2 linked regions of the Lepisosteus oculatus genome follow. The protein of the gene in region 1 purifies or fractionates together with the protein of each later gene. This does not show direct contact. Links are inferred from orthologs where the notes say so. Each region holds a gene or a part of one and is shown in the gene's direction. Other genes may lie near its edges. The genes, in order: rngtt and smek1.

The links.
Region 2: the proteins of rngtt (region 1) and smek1 purify together in Homo sapiens (affinity purification with mass spectrometry; 3 studies listed by BioGRID and IntAct, with this or other methods). This does not show direct contact. The link is inferred for Lepisosteus oculatus from reciprocal best matches to the Homo sapiens genes RNGTT and PPP4R3A.

The regions. Positions count from the first base shown.
Region 1 is NC_090697.1:8,026,921-8,034,962, forward strand, and holds the start of rngtt (mRNA-capping enzyme), read left to right. Parts: upstream 1-5,029; 5' UTR 5,030-5,631; coding exon 5,632-5,695; exon of another isoform or gene 5,696-6,809; intron 6,810-7,901; exon of another isoform or gene 7,902-8,042.
Region 2 is NC_090703.1:20,030,113-20,038,247, reverse strand, and holds the start of smek1 (serine/threonine-protein phosphatase 4 regulatory subunit 3), read left to right. Parts: upstream 1-4,871; 5' UTR 4,872-5,637; coding exon 5,638-5,779; intron 5,780-7,863; coding exon 7,864-7,919; intron 7,920-8,135. UniProt on the Homo sapiens protein: Regulatory subunit of serine/threonine-protein phosphatase 4. May regulate the activity of PPP4C at centrosomal microtubule organizing centers.

The DNA.
Region 1 (8,042 bases):
GGGTGCTGTCTGCGTGGAGCTTGTATGTTCTCCCCGTGTTCGCGTGGGTTTCCTCTGGCAGTTTCCTCCCACAGCTCAAAGACATACTGGTAGGTTGATTGGCTTCTGGGCAAATTGGCTCTGGCATGAGTGTGTGTTTGTGCCTCTGTGTGTGCCCTGCGATGGACTGGTGACCAGTGGCCAGTATGAACCCAATAAAATCAAATGGAAACCTTTTTTTTTCTTTCATCGTCTTGGATATTTTTCTGTCTTTTAAGTAAATAAGCATTGTTCTTACTGTATGTACAGTGGCATGGCTGTGGATGAGATTATTGTATTACTGTTGTTGTTTCGTAATTGAGAACAGTAAAAAAAACAGTGATTCGGTGACATTAACGATAAACAAAACAAATCTGCTAGGGCTATGAGTGTTTATAGAGCTGCTGAAGAAAACACCGGGAGTGATTGTTAGTGGATGCGTTCATTCTGGGGTCGGGTTTGGGTTCAACACTTCACCTAACAGCCCACACTAATGTCAGCAGATTCTCGATACAGTTTGTGGCTTCGTCTGTTTTCCTCTTGTCGTCTTTTTTTTTCCGACTCCAAGACGTTTCTTTCGTTTCACAATTTGTACAGCGCTGACGTGGCCAGTCACCTGTGCTCAGTGCGCTCAAATGTTTCCTTTGTTTTACAGTTGCAATTTGCATTTCTTAGAAAAAAATCCGGTTTTGCATTATATTTTTAAAAAATACAGTATTTTTAAAGCCGTTGCCACAGCATATTCCCTTTAATTAGCACCATCACAACAACAGGACGGTTTAAATTGTACAATTTTAGTTTCACTAGCTGATAGAAACTTGGCCTTGATTCTCCGTTTCCCCGACCGATTCTTATCCTCGATTTTATTATTGTATTTAGTGGTTTTATGAAAAAGGTCAGTAATGGCGAGTTAAAGGCGCTATCTGGGAATGCGATCTGCTGTAGTTACTCGATTTGGGTATTAACACGCGGGACACAAGCACAAGACGAGAAATTTGCATTCAGTTTGTATTTTAATTTTAAAAAATTTAATGTGAACCAATGCCGATACACAGATAATGGTCTGCTTTCCAAGTAGACATTTGTATTCAGCGCACTAGAGATGCATCCCCAGAAGGGTGGCAAAGCGTTTAAGCAGGGTTTTCAGGCTGGATTGGATTGGACTCGGAAATATGCCAGGCAACAGCTCCCTAGTCCGTGTTGCTGGGGGAAAGTTTCATCACATGACTTTGAATTTTACCTTTTGATTGGTTAGATAAAAAAAGATGCAAGTTTTCATTTTTTACATAACTAAAGAAAGTAGAGAAACGGCTGTGATCAGCTGATCGCTGCAGTATGTAGGTCGGGCTGAGACTGATTTCTGATACCGGGTTATTATATTTGGATACATACAGTAAATAAACAGAAACACCTTAATTTTGGAGGAATGCTTCTTCTTCTTCTTCTTCTTCTTCTTCTTCTTGTTTTTAGATTTATATTTAAGAACCCATAGCACTGTTATAAATAATACATATAAGTTATCCTTATGCTGTACATATACAGCGTTTTTCTGGACACTTCACTAGTTCAAAGAGCTTTACAGGTAATGGGGACCCCTCTTCACTACCACCAACGCGCAGCCCCCAACTGACAGAATAATCATAAAATTATTTCTTTAAATGTACTCAACACTTACAAAAGTTACAAGTTACAAAAGTAACATTATGATCATTCTTTTTTAATTCTTGTAAAGTCTCTTGTAAATTCTTGTAAAGTAATTACAACTCTGGGTAATTAGACTGGACAGAAGCTCACAATTTTGTGGAGCGAACCAAATGTTTTGACACCTTTTGAGGTGAGGGCTAGCACTTGTGCTCAACACTGTTTAAAGCACAGATCAAAGCAAGGAAGATGAATGAGGAAAAGTCACAGAAAAAACAAGAGAAATTAAGAGTTTGTGTAATACAAACAGTACCGCAGTTTGGAGCTCCCATTAACAAACAGAAACCTGTCAAGTATCTGGTACTGGAAGGACCCAGATAAAATTTAGGAGAAGGGGCTGTATTTTTCAGATTTGTGCCAAACCATCAGTCTTGTAGACAGTTTCTTTCTTTAACATCAGTCTAGTGAGATAGCTTTACTTTAGGGAATTGTTCATTTTATTAAAACGGTCTCGCTTTCCGGTTTACTAACACTTGGAATTTCCCTAAAATAAACATTTAAGATCACCCAGACTTGGGAGGAGTGGCTTGTCACTACAGAACTCCAGCTGCATTCAGTGTTGGCACCCTGTCAACACAGTGTTTTACAGATCAAGTCCTGGGAGCCCACTGGCTTTTCCTCCTGTAAATAACAATAATTGCTTATACTTATATAGCACTTTTCTGGACACCCCACTAAAAACGCTTTACAGGTAATAGGGACTCTCCTCACCCACCTAGATGATGGCAGCCATAGTGCTCCAGAACGCTCACCACACACCAGCTATCAGTGGGGAGGAGAACAGAGTGATGAAGCCAGTTCAGAGATGGGGATTATTAGGAGGCCATGATTGGTAAAGGCCAGTGGATAATTTGTCCAGGACACCAGGGTTACTCCCTACTCTTTTCAAGAGACACGCTGGGATGTTTAATGACCACAGAGAGTCAGGACCTTAGTTTTATGTCTCCTTCAAAGGACAGTGCCCCTTTTACAGTTTAGTGTCCCTGTCACTATACTGGGGCATTAGGACCCACACAGACTGCAGGGTGAGCGCCCTCTGCTGGCCCCACTAACACCTCTTCCAGCAGCAACATTATTTTTCCCAGGTGTCTCCCATCCAGGTACTGACCAGGCTCACACCTGCTGAGCTTCAGTGGGCTGCCAGTGGTGAGCTGCAGAGTTGTATGATCGCTGGCAAACTCATGCTGACCTGACAATATTCCAGCAGGAGAGTGAATGTCTTCATCTTGCTCATGTACCAATGGCTTTCTTGCGAGAGGAGTAGGTGTGTAGATGTGTAGATACCCTACTTGTGAGACCTGAGTCCCATTGAAAATCTGAGGGATGAACTGGGACAATGTGTGGGACTATGGGCTCAGAGGCCAATGAAAAGGCACAGATTTATCAAGGCACTACTACAAAAATGGCTACAATCCCACAAGACAGCATCTGTGAGCTCCTGCAGCTATAGCTACCCACAACTTCTATTGCTTCCAGACATGGTCACACATGCTACTAGCCTGTGGATTTCACTGTGTAATCCCTGTCAATCTGACCAGTTGATGGCCAATGTTAATGAGCATGATGAATCTTGCTTTGTCATGTCTGCTCAATAAAATGGCTGTACCTAATCTTTAGTAATGCCTTGCAGTTATCATGGAAACAGAGACATTTAAAAAAAATGTCATGTGTGCCTTTTCAAAGGGACAGACCGGGCACAAGGCATTCTAATTTCTTTTAAAACTCTTCACTACAAGTTTAAGTTTTATACTAATGGTCCTGTAAATCTGCTGTCCGTGATAACACACATGTCTAGTTTCCTCTTCTGTTCTGTATGTTGTACACTGCTGCCACTGTCTCAGGGTCAAACTATAGATAATAAATGGGTCTATCCTGCAGTCATAGACATGACAACTGCACACCATGGATCCATGATAAAAGATTCCCAATTCCCTGTTCAGTACCACTTGGCATACACAGCCCATAGCTACTGGCCATGCTAGATGCCTGTCAGACATTGGAACAAGCAACAGGTTTATTCCATGCTGAAAAGAGAAGAGAGAAAACACATTTTTTCTCTCTCTCGTGTTCTCTCTCTTCTCGTTTCAGCTTGGAAAAAAACTATTACTTGTTCCTTTGCAGACTGCACATGCTGACGCAGCTGCCCACCTGGACCACTTCAGCCTGTCAGATATTTATATATTTGCTCAATCAGGGCTAAGAGTGGGTTAATGTAATAACCACAGTTTTTACTCTGTGCCAGGAATGCTCGAGTCCTGCTGTGTTGGCCCTGGCATTGGAATGCCTGAAGACACGATGACATTAACTGGCACCACTTAGCACCTCAGGAGGTCATCAGTGTAGTAGCAGCCCTGCGCTGTGATACACTTGACTTGGCTCAATAGTTCAAAACCCGATGATCTCCACTGTCATACAAGATAATCAATATCACTGTTTGTCCACCAGCAGATACACAGCAAGCCGACTGGGGACCAATTTCACATAATAGAGGTTTGCTGCAGCTTTGAAAATGCAAATTGTTTCCATAATTACAAAAAACCCCTAAAGATGAACAAACTTAGTGTGAATCTAACTTTCAACTCTTGGTTTATATCATGGTATTTTAGTGTTGTTTGATTGCATTATTGTCATACTCTATACTCTGTATTTTTATGGGATCGTGATGTACAAGACAAATTCCCTTTAGGGGCAATAAAGGATAATTCAATGAATTCAATTCTACTGCAATTGAACAAATATCGGCTCGTTATTGTTCTGCAGTCTGGAAAAAATGTTGTAACAAGAATGGCACTGCAGAAGGAGTTATAAACAGACAACACCGTCTGCAGTTCAGATCCATGCACGGTTAAAATAATTACGATACGCTATCCAGCCGTCCTGAGTGATGCTGCAGCGTTTTTTATCACAAACCCTTGCGAAAATGAAGCTGGTCAATTCAAGGTAAAGCATGTTTCGTTTTGCTTTACTTTATACGAGGACTTAACGATCCCACCTTAGAAAATGACTGACTAGTGAATAATATTTGGGTTGACCAGGGTAGTGGTTAAAGAAAATTAGATGTCTGCTTTAACTCTATACTTTTGAAGTCCAAGCTGTGTTTGTGAACTGTAGACTTTACAACCAGCAAGGAAACCAGGAAAACCGTTTGGCGACTCTGCTATCACACTCTATACCAAGCTACAAACTGGGCGCTCTTTGAGTTAAATTCAAAACAATACATTATTTCCCTTCTCCCAATGAAGATGGCTCGACTCTACAAAATGCGCAGCTAAAATGAAACTTGAATCGCTTAAAAAACGGCGTTAGAACACTTTAGAAACCTTAAATGTGCTGTACCGTGATAATAAGTGCAGACAAAAAATACAATTCAATTTCAAGAGTTGGCAAATATTTTATCAATATTAGACCAAGCTGTGTATCACAAGTCTACCACGACGTGTGGTAGTGAAGTGCCAAACAGCGACAGCTCTTTTTCGAGCCGAAGGTACCATCTAGCGCTGCTTCTCGGCCACTGCAGGTATTTGTATAGGAAGTGCGGAGCACTCTGGGGGAAATGTGGAGGATTTGATTGTAGTTCATTCATGGACGCTGCGTTTGATTCTGGGGAAAACTAGAAGTTTTTTCCCGTTATTCGGGAGACTAAACTTCTCGGAGCTCAGATCCCGGGGAGGCAGGACCGTCCGAGCGAAGCGGGTCACCTCTGCACCCTGGACGCCTCCCGGACTTGCTGAAGTATTTTCAACATCAGCCTTTAGGCCCAAGAGCCGCGGAGCACGGGAGTGCAGCAGCCCGCCGCGGAGGGCTGATCTCCTGGGGACTCTCTCGTAGATGCGGGCCTGACCGACCTGTCCTTCCTGCGAGGTCCGTGGCGAGGTCCTGCCGGGGAGCCTTTCTCCCGGTCTTAGAGACACGATGTCGCACGGCGGGGTCCCGCCGAGATGGCGGAATTGCCCGAGAAGGGGGCAACCTGTGGCAGGTGAGTACCTGCGGCACCTTGTGACATTTTCGCTGCTCGGTTTGTCAGCGCATTGCATTAGGCGGCCCCTTTCATAAAGAAAGGGGACGGTGTAGTATTTTGCGTGTAACGTCCAGCTGTTTGTCTCCGGCTGTGCACCGGGAGCGGTTGAGGGTTTTCCGATGAAGTTCGCGTTTTGGAGGGATGGCGAGAAAACGGTGACATTTCGGCGATTTCATCGCGCATCCCAACAGCTGCAGGTCACCGGGTCGGCCAAGCCCCCGAGCAGCTCCCAGCCGGCTCTGTGGTGCCCCTTGTAACCTGTGCACGCTGTCAAGCTGTGTTTTATACACCGGGAGGCTGTGCACGTCAGTTGTATTTCCTTAGCTTGTGACGAGATCCCCACACAAAACAAACGTAGTCGCACGGTCCTAAAAAAAAAACAACCTTTTACGTTTAAATTCTCCGAAAACATTTTTCTTTCGTGCGTTGAGACCCGTCTCTCAGAATGACCTACAGTTCATGTTATTCTTTGTTTTTTTTTTCCACCCCTCTATTTGTAGGGACTTGTTTGTAAAAAATAAAAGCTTCACCAATGTCTCACTCTTTTGGTTAAGAAGGTCATTCTGTCATGTGTCTAGGGGTTCCTTGGTTCCTATCTGAGTTTGGCGGTATTTATTTTTTTCAGACCTTAATAGACTCTTCTCTCTTCTGTGCTCAAGTGAGAGGTTTTAAGTTGACCAGGATGTCAGTTTTCAGTGTGGATATTCCTACGGCTGCTTCTATTTGATGGCTTTCCAAGACGGCGGTTTCTTTTTTGTACCTTTGTGATCGATCGCAGATTGAATTTTGGTCTTTCAGGTGCGTTACAGGTTTTTTTAACATTAACACCTTTAACTTGAAATCGGCGTGGTGATCGACTCCTGTAGAGACGTCCTGTGGGGAGATTGTGTGCGGGCTGGTGGCAGGATTGCAGGCTGATTCAGAGCAGTGGGAGAAAGGTAACTGGGTGACTACAGGCACACACGGGTCACCACCCCAGATCTTGCTGGGTCCCTCTCATGCCAGGCCGTGGGGGAGACAGCAGAGCCTGGAGGAAGCTGGCAGGAATGATGGGCCCCACTTTAAAACTCCACTAAAATGCAAACAATATGTAAAAAAAGCACAAATAACACAAGGTAAGATACAAGAACTGCGTCGCTTTGACGTTCAGTAATATCAATGGTGCTCTATAGGGGTAGGTCGATTATGATGGGTGCTGTTTGCTTTTTTCGGCTTTAGTGAATTTTATACAGGGTATTTCCAATACATTAAATAAAGAGCTTGTATTTTATACAAAAAAGCATGTGAACAGATCCCATTGACACTCTTGAGCGCAATTGTTAAAATAAGTCGAAAGATCCAGAAAGCATATATGAAGTAGTTTATATTTTCCCATATAATGTGTGATTTTAGAGAGTGGTTCTCAAACTTTTTGGACCAAGTACCACCCCTGATCAATCCAAAGCATCCAAGTACCACCTACAAGTCATCATCTCATAGGAACCCCAGAAAATCTCAATGACCAACATGAGCGCGCGTGCACACACACTCACACATGCATACATATAATAAATAAACTTTATTTGATATAGCACCTTTAAAGGTGGCTTCTCAAAGCGCTTTACAGAATTACAACAGGAACCACAACAATTAAAAATAAACAATACAAATTTCAGTGAGAGGGTTGAGCCTGTTTAGTTGAGCAAAGCAGATGTGAATTCATTGGTCGAGCCTTGATACAATTCACAACAGATTTTAAGTGTATCCACTTCATATCTGGAGCAACCTCTCTAATTCGTGCAACTACACCACTGTGTCGGCTTGTCATTGCTCTAGCACCGTCTATAGAAACTCTGACGCATTTTATCCAGTCGATGCCATTCACTTCGATAAAATCATTCAGAAGCTGAAATATGTGCTCTCCTGTAGTTCCTGTTGGTAGCGGCTTACAGAACAGAAAGTCCTCATGGGACGTACCCTCAAAATCGTATCTAACCTAAAGGAGCAAATTGGCCAATTTTGACACTTTTGACATCATCCGCCATATCAATAATTCTGTGAATGACTGTGTCTTTCAGAGGGGGCAGCAGGACAAGCTGTTTAGCAGCTTTTTCTCCACACATAATACGTATCATCTCTTTTGCCAATGGTAAACAAAGTTCTTTAAAAATAGCCTGGGGCCTACCTGCTTTAGCAATCTGCAAGCTTGCATTTTTCCCCCGTTTCCATTTCAGGAGTCCATCTCAGAAGTTAAAAAGGTTTTATTTCATGTGCGTGGAAGCGAAACACAGAGACGCTTTGTGTATTTTTCTCAAATTAACCTAGA
Region 2 (8,135 bases), on another chromosome or scaffold:
TCAGCTCTGGGAAACTGGGCAGAATAATGCTTATTATAGCTGAATTAACATATACAGACACTACGCTTTGGCAGAAAGGGTTTAAAGTGTAACAGCAGACATGCAATCATAATTACACCCCACTGCTGGAAAGATTCCCCAATTAGATTAATCTGAAAAAGAAGAAGTTAGGAAGGCCTTTCTTTAAATCTGGTGGGGAGAAGTTTTGTTGTTCTGTTACAGCATCCATAGAAAGCAAAAAACGTGTATCATCTTAAGGCACAACCCTTTCGGCTAGAGTTCTTCACTCCAGAAACAGCCGCCTGAACAGATGCTATCCATGCTGTGACACAATATTAGTTACGAATGTACTTTCTCTTTGATGCTCAGATATACCTCATATTTATTTGAAAGTGCTCACAAGCTTCCATTGTGCCAAAGAGTAAAACCAAAACATCTGTTTGCAAGCTGTTTTGCATAAAGTAGCCTTAAACTGAATTGCTCATCACATACAAGTCTGGATGCTTGCTAATCTTTTGTGCTTTGCTTGCATCTTGTACTGCTATAAATGGACTATATTTAACTTATGAGAAGAATGAAATACAGTGCTAGAGATAGCTACTAGCCCTTGGAGAGTGACCAGATGTCATACTACAGTACAGTGTGTAGAATCCAGGCAGTACTACCAGACATGGAATATTAATGTTACTATTGTAAGACTCTTGTGACATAATTGGCTGTTTTAAGAATTTGGAAGTTCCGATGTTCTTCAATTTAGCTGTATATATGAAGGAAGCTGATGTTCCATAAATCACATTACTTTTGTAATTTTGTTTGTGAAAAAGTTAGAAATACTTGATTCATCATTCCTTGTCTATGCAGCTTAAAACAGCTAACAGGAGAATAAAGAGTTATTAGGTAATATTTAGTAAAAGATACCATTTGTGCTACAACCATAAGGCAATGCTATTGTTGTTAAGCATAAAAGTTTGGGATGTTGACAAAGAATAAGAGGAAATAATTGGAATTCATAATCAGTACTGTCAGCTTACTAACTAAACAAGTCCACCTTTGTCATCTGGTTGGTTTTATAACCTTATGAAACCAATAACTCATCATTTCACTCTCAGATATCTGCTAATTCTGGGTTAAAGTTGTGACAGCGCATCGCCCATTCCTTGAATACAAGAAGCAAGTTTGACCCCAAACCCGAGAGCATTTCAGACACCAGTGCGACCTGCTCTGTCACCATGTGCCTCATCAAACTGGGGCTTAGAGTTCAGATGAATCGGCGTGAGAAATGTGGCTTTACAGGGAAACAAAGAACAATATAATTGACGAAACAGTTTTTGACATTTGTGATTGCGTGGCAGCAAAAAAAAGAACAGTCTTTTAGTCAGACAGAGCAATGCACTCTAGTATCACAAGGAGTCTGAAGAAGGCGGGGAGGGTATGAATAAGTGCCTTTGCTGAGTAGGATTGCCAGTTGTGTTTTATTTCAGGGGTGACTAACTGAAGTACTACACTAGGGAGGTTCTCATTGTGAGGAGGCTGCACCCCTCTCTGGGAGCACTGGCACTTGGCCTCCGTCCTTAAAAACTGAACTGAAGACACACCTCTCCTCTCCAGCCTGCACTATAGCTTTCAGATTTCTTGCGGCCAATGAAGTATGTTTTCACTGAAAGTGCCCCATGAATGTGAGTGTCCCCTAGATTGTAACAGCTTAGAAGAATGAATCATTATTTTTATAAATGCATAACCTTTTTATATACAGCGGGAATTGAAAGTAACATGCTGAAAAGAGAGGACGGGAAACAACGTTTCGGATGTGGATCCTTCTTCTTTATGTTGGTTGTCACTGCTCTGTATTATTGCACTGTTTGTAATTTTCCTTTGTAATTCTCGCGCTTTCAAAAGGTACTTCACTAAATAAGGATTGTGACTGCTCCTGTGCTAAAAACACTTTGTTTTCTTGTTAACTTCCATAGTAGAGACTGGAAGGCACAAAATAATAGTATTATTATTATTGATAATGATGATAATATCGTTGATCATGATGGTAGTTTTGTTTTCCATCGCATGGCCAGTCATGTGGCCGTTTCGGTGATCCCTGTGTCTCCATAGTGCAGACAACAAAGGCTCTTTTTTGACTTCATTAAAGATGCAAAAAGAGATTGGGCCCTCTAAATTCTCAGTTTAGATTGAATCTTTATGCAACAACACAAGTACTGCATGCCTGCTGACATTGTTTATGTTAGCTGTTTGTTTCACATAGAAACCGTTCCAGCTCTTTCTTTCAGCTGCAGTGGACTTTTGTTTGTTGTGACTGTGCTGTCCTCATTCACTATACAATTAATGGTTTACTTAGTTCCACACTGCAAAGTACATTCTGTTTACATATCACAGTTTGCTGCCATGGAGACCAAAAAAAATATCTCTGCTGGTTTCAAAAACAGAATACTGCTTGGGTGTTTTACTGTACTGGGCTGATGTAATAATTTCTTAGTTTAACTGTCTAGGTTGTGGTTTGTGGGCTCCATTTATTTTAATTTAAAAACCTTAGTACTTTTTCTTCACCTTGAAATTGTCAGATACAAAATAGACTTTGTGATAAATACCACTGTTGTTTATGATCTTTCAACAAATGGAATTTTCCATTTTTTTGTGATGTTTTAATTGTCTTAATCAACATTAGCATGCTGGGAAATCATGACCATTTTTGTTAAGGCTTTCAGATGGCAGAACGCAATACAGCTTTAAACTCAATTACAACCTACCGACTGGTATCAAAGCAGTGTAAGGGTCTGAACGTCTTCTCCCTCCCCCAAAAAATCCACCTTGGAATGATTAGAGCACTGCTTATTGGGCAGCTGTGTGGATGACTCAACGCAAACTTATTTAGCTTTTCACCCTTTAAAACAAAAGCATCCAGTCCATCTAACTGCTTTTTCCAGTACAGGCCCTAAGGACAGCTGGAGCCTGAACCGGCAAGCAGCGCGTGCTAGGCAAGAGCCACCATGAATGGGATGCCAGTCCATCACAGGGCACACATTCATGCCAGGGCCAGTCTTCTCAGAAGCCAGTTACCCAATCGGTATGTTCTTGGACTGTAGGGGGACGCCCACACAAACACAGGGGAAACATTCAAACTCCATGGAGGTAGCACCCCAAAAATTGAAGCCAGGGGCCCAGCGCTGTGAGACAGCTATACTGACCACTGTGCCACCGTGATGCTCAAAACAAAAGCAGCTGAATGTATGCTTTATGTAAAGCATTATCTGCTATTTAAAAAAAACACAACTATTTTTAGTGTATCAAAATAAAAGCTGAAGACACAAACTTGCCATAAAAACAACAGTAAGTCAGACAGCTTCACAACATGTTAATGTTTCCTTACTCTTATATAGCGCTTTTCTGGACACTCCACTCAAAGCACTTTACAGGTAATGGGGACTCCCCTCCACCACCACCAATGTGCAGCCCCACCTGGATGATGCAACAGCAGCCATAGTGCACCAGTACGCTCACCACACATCAGCTATCAAGTGGGGAGGAGAACAGAGTGATGAAGCCAGTTTATAGATGGGGATTATTAGGAGGGAATTATTACAAAAAAGGCCAAAGGGAAATTTGGCCAGGACGCCGGGACAACATCCTTACTCTTTTTTGAGAATCACCCGGGGATTTTTAATGGCCACAGAGAGACAGGACCCCGGTTTTACATCCCCATCACTATACTGGGGCATTAGGACCCACACAGACCATAGGGTGAGCGTCCCCCAACTGGCCCCAATCTTTTCCAGCAGCAACCTTAACTTTCCTAGGTCTCCTATCCAGGTACTGACCAGGGTCACCAGTGTGTTGGCAGTTGAGAGTTGCAGGGTAATATAACTGCTTGGGAAGCAGGTTCTTCTTTGTGATGGGATCCTATAAGGAACGTCTGAGGCCTAGTTGTTAAAAATAAACCTATTAAATGAGCACAGCAACAGTAAGATAACTTAAAATTCTTAAATGTCTGGTTGGAGAGGAGATACGAGTCTTGGGTCGATAAACAGGGCACACGGGCATTATACTGAATTATAGAAAATGAAAATCTAGTGAGATGAGACCAGTCCTTCCGCAGACTCTATTTTTCTGCACATAGAGGATTCAAAACCACACTCGTGTCTGATTTCTGGCTCGGGCCACTCTGCTACTGAAAATCTTCAGTCCCATTTCCCCCTGCTCCCTCCAACCCCAACCCCAGAGCCCGTTCCTTCTCTAACCTCTCCCCTTAGCCACAGAAACCACAAGCCCCTTGCACCTGCTCGAGAAGCACCTGGGGCTCTCGGCTACATCCTGCAGCCACTGTTTTTCTGTAGGCCACTAATGTTTTATTCTGAAACTAGTCATGTAATTTACAAAATGTACTTGCTTCTAAACCTGGAATAGGTAGTCAAACAGGGGGACTTCATCTTTGTATCCGGACTACCGGTACATGTTTCACATTGTTTCAGTTCCTACAGTTTTTGATTTTCACTTCCACCTTAATTGTCATTTTATTGATTTGATTTATATTTTACCACACCTACATGTTATATCTGTTGTTTACTGTTTGCACACGTCTAAATCAGATGTACATACAGCTAAAAAATTAATTGGCATTCATGGGTTTATCTGTCCTGCAAGCTCCTAAAATACAAATATTTGGGGGCTTTGTTGACATCAGTGTAATATTCTGTAAATTACAGTTACTTCTTGGGAAAAAAAGTCTTATCTGGCTCCGATATTACAAGCCCTTACTGATTTTTAGATGTCAAAGTAGTTGGTAACCCGAACATGGAGAGTCTGAAAGGTGCGATTGAAAGCGCTGTTCCTTTAAATAGTGGCGGGCTGCCCCTGCTGCCGCTGGGCTGGAGACCCCGTGCTGGCACTCTGAGGGGACCCAAGATGGCGGAGTTCTGATTGAGGGAACTGTAATTATAAAATAAAACTGGGAATTAAAGAGAAACTGTAGTCGTGCGTGGGGGGTTCCGTATAAAGGGAGTTCAAGTAATATTCCGGTTGAATTTATTTAATTTTTAAATGTGTTCAGAATTGTGGGGAGAGGCTAGTCTCTCTCCGCGGCCCGAGGACAGAACATGGCGGAACGCTAGGGAAGGGGTATAAATAATAGAAAATAAATATAAAAACAGCCGGCTGCCTTTAAAATTAAAGATCCGGACACGTCCTTTCGCGGAAATAATGCAGTCGATCTCGCATGCGGTTCTGTATGAAGCGTTCATTGTTTCCAAGAATGAGAAATACGCGCAGATAAGGGCTGTCGACAACACCGATTCTCCAGTCGTGCTCTGAACATTTTCTTTCCCTCTCCTTCTGCCGAATTTCGTTGGTGGCCTCCTTGTGCAGCCGGGGTTATATCTCGCTTTCTCTTTCTCTTGTGCAGCGGGAAGGGCAGTGTTTTACAGGGTTGCGCAACTTGAGGTAAAATGGCGAAAGCGTCCTGAAGCCCTCGGTAGCAAGGCCGCCCTCCCGAGCTGGGCGAGTGTGCGCTGTAGTAGGCTAGCCGTCTGATCGCCCTGACGGGCCGGGCTAAGGATCGGAGACCGAGGGTCCGACGCCTCTGGGGTGGACGACGAAGCGTGTTTTCGGGTGTGAACAGCGGGGTGGGTTAGCAGAATGACGGACACTCGGCGACGAGTGAAGGTTTACACCCTTAACGAAGATCGGCAGTGGGACGACCGGGGCACCGGGCATGTGTCCTCCGGCTACGTGGAGAGATTGAAAGGCATGTCCTTGCTAGTGCGGGCCGAGAGTGACGGTAAGTGGCCAGTAGCTGCCCCCCCCCCAAAGTAAGGTTCTGTTAACAGGTTTTAGTGCTCGCTTGCAGACCTGGGTAAAGTTTCGATCTGGTTTTAAGCGCCGCTGGTGCCTGAAAGTTGCGCGGATACTTGTGTAAACACGTCGCCTGGCTTTTCCCTTAGTAAGCAGTGATTTGATTTGTGCTTTCGAGGTCTTAACCGAGACAGCTCTACAAATCAGGGGGATGTAACGCTGGGCGAAAGCCGCACAACATGTATGTCTTTGTATTGTTTTAGCAGGGTTAGGGTTCGATCACTAGATGCAGCCTTGCAGATAATGGGGGTGCATGCCGAGGATCATTGAGTTTCCAGTGTCCTGCTATTTAGTGCGATTGCCGTACTTAATGCCCTCTATAGTTGTCCACCCCTACGTACACAAGTACAAAATTACACCTTTCATCTCCTTATTAACGTGTGATTGCACAACAAAGGCGTCATAGATTCTGATTTCCAGGTTTGAGTAAAGATACAAGGATTTGCACAAAACCAATCATTTATTTCAGACTTGTATTTGAATGCATCATCTATTGTGTCCAGGTATTGACAGAACGAGGTCCGAGAGCCTCATAAATACTGAATCATGTTTGTATTGTCCTGAAGAGTTGTGCCTGCAGCTCTTATAATGTAGACAGTCTCTTATTGAACGTGCAGTGTTGGATCTTCGGTAACAGTATCGAAAACGCAACGTTAGATTAAAAAAAATCCTCTAAACGTGCTGCTTGAAAGTGCTTGTTTTCAGTCCGCTGCTCGGCTGCTCGTCCTGCTGCGCTCCTGCAGCTTGTTCAGCCTGTAACCTGTTGGAAGTTGAAGGAGTTGCACCAACTCGTCCGAGCGCCATACCAGTTGGACCGGAATAATAACTTTTCATCAGTTTCTCGTTCTTTACTGATCATTTTGACATTCTAGACGTTGTTTTTTTGTTCTTAAGCTATTGAGTTACATCCAGAGGTACTGATTTCAGATTCTTCTAATCGTCTTATCAAAGCTTCTTATATTCGTGCAGGATGAATTGTAGTACTGCCTAAGGTTGTCTGTCATTGTGTCTACAATTAGAGCATGCGATTTTAGTTTTTATGTATTACAAATGGCAGCACAGCTAAAATGTGCTAGAACAATTTGTACATTTAATAGTACAGTTTGCAGTCTTTAATTGTTAACAAATTAAAAGATCGGCCTTAGATTTTTTTAACTTGTACAGTATTTTTTATTATTTGCTCTTCCAAGTCCTAAAGTTGAAAAAGAACAACCTTATGTGGCACTAATGCTCCAGTCTTTTCAAGGAATCTGGTTAATTGTGTAATGTAAAATGCCATGACACCTTGGGCCGTCTCTTGTGTTTTTTCTCATTTTTAATAGGTTATTCCTTAATTTTAAAACTGCATTTGGGGTTCCATTTCATCAACACAAGTGGAACATTGCAGGTGTTACTTAAATTTAATTTTGGTAGGCAAGGAGTGAATATACCTCACCCTTTGTTGAATGGAGTGGTTGCTTTTCTGAAATCAGAAGTAATTCATTTTGTAACATTAATTTTAAAAGTATTGAGATGATTTTGATGGCATGAAAATGTTTGCCACCAATGGGTAACAAGCTCATGGAGACTGGTGATTGAATTGTGTGCACTTTTCCCAGTATTTCGGAAAACTAAAATGTTTGCACGAGTGACAAAGGAAATATTTTTAACTTTTCTGTATTCAGTTTATGCTTTGATACATTAGAAAACAAGTTTTGTTTACATCAAAGACATGATCTGCAATTCCTATCTATAGGCCATTCATTGTTAAAAGTGCTGAAGAGTAGCTGAGACAGGTGTGACATAGACTGCATTCTTATGCTGTGCCAGTTTCCTACCCCTGTTCTTGGACTGAGGACATGGCCAACTGCAGGGCCCTGTGTCAAGATGAAATTGGAAGCACTCTGTGATTTACGCATGGCAAAGGGATAAAGATATCGACATTGAGTTAATAAATTGCACTGAATTCTTTCATTTTACTCTTTATTGGGTACCAGTGAACACATTATGTAATGTTGCTTTTTTTTGCAGGTTCTCTTTTGTTGGAGTCAAAAATAAACCCTAACACTGCTTACCAGAAGCAGCAGGTAAGTTTCTTTGAAAGTGTAACTTTTTAAAGTCTCGGTTCTTTAGATTTTAAGTGTTGACGCCTTAAAGAAAATGCATATTAAATGTATTGTAGTTTATTAATTTGGTTTTAAATTTAAATGAATATGCTTTGTATGATTTCAATGATATTTGTAATATTTTCAATTTTTTGTATTGTGTACTAAATTTAAGCAAAGTTTGTCCCTTAAACTCAT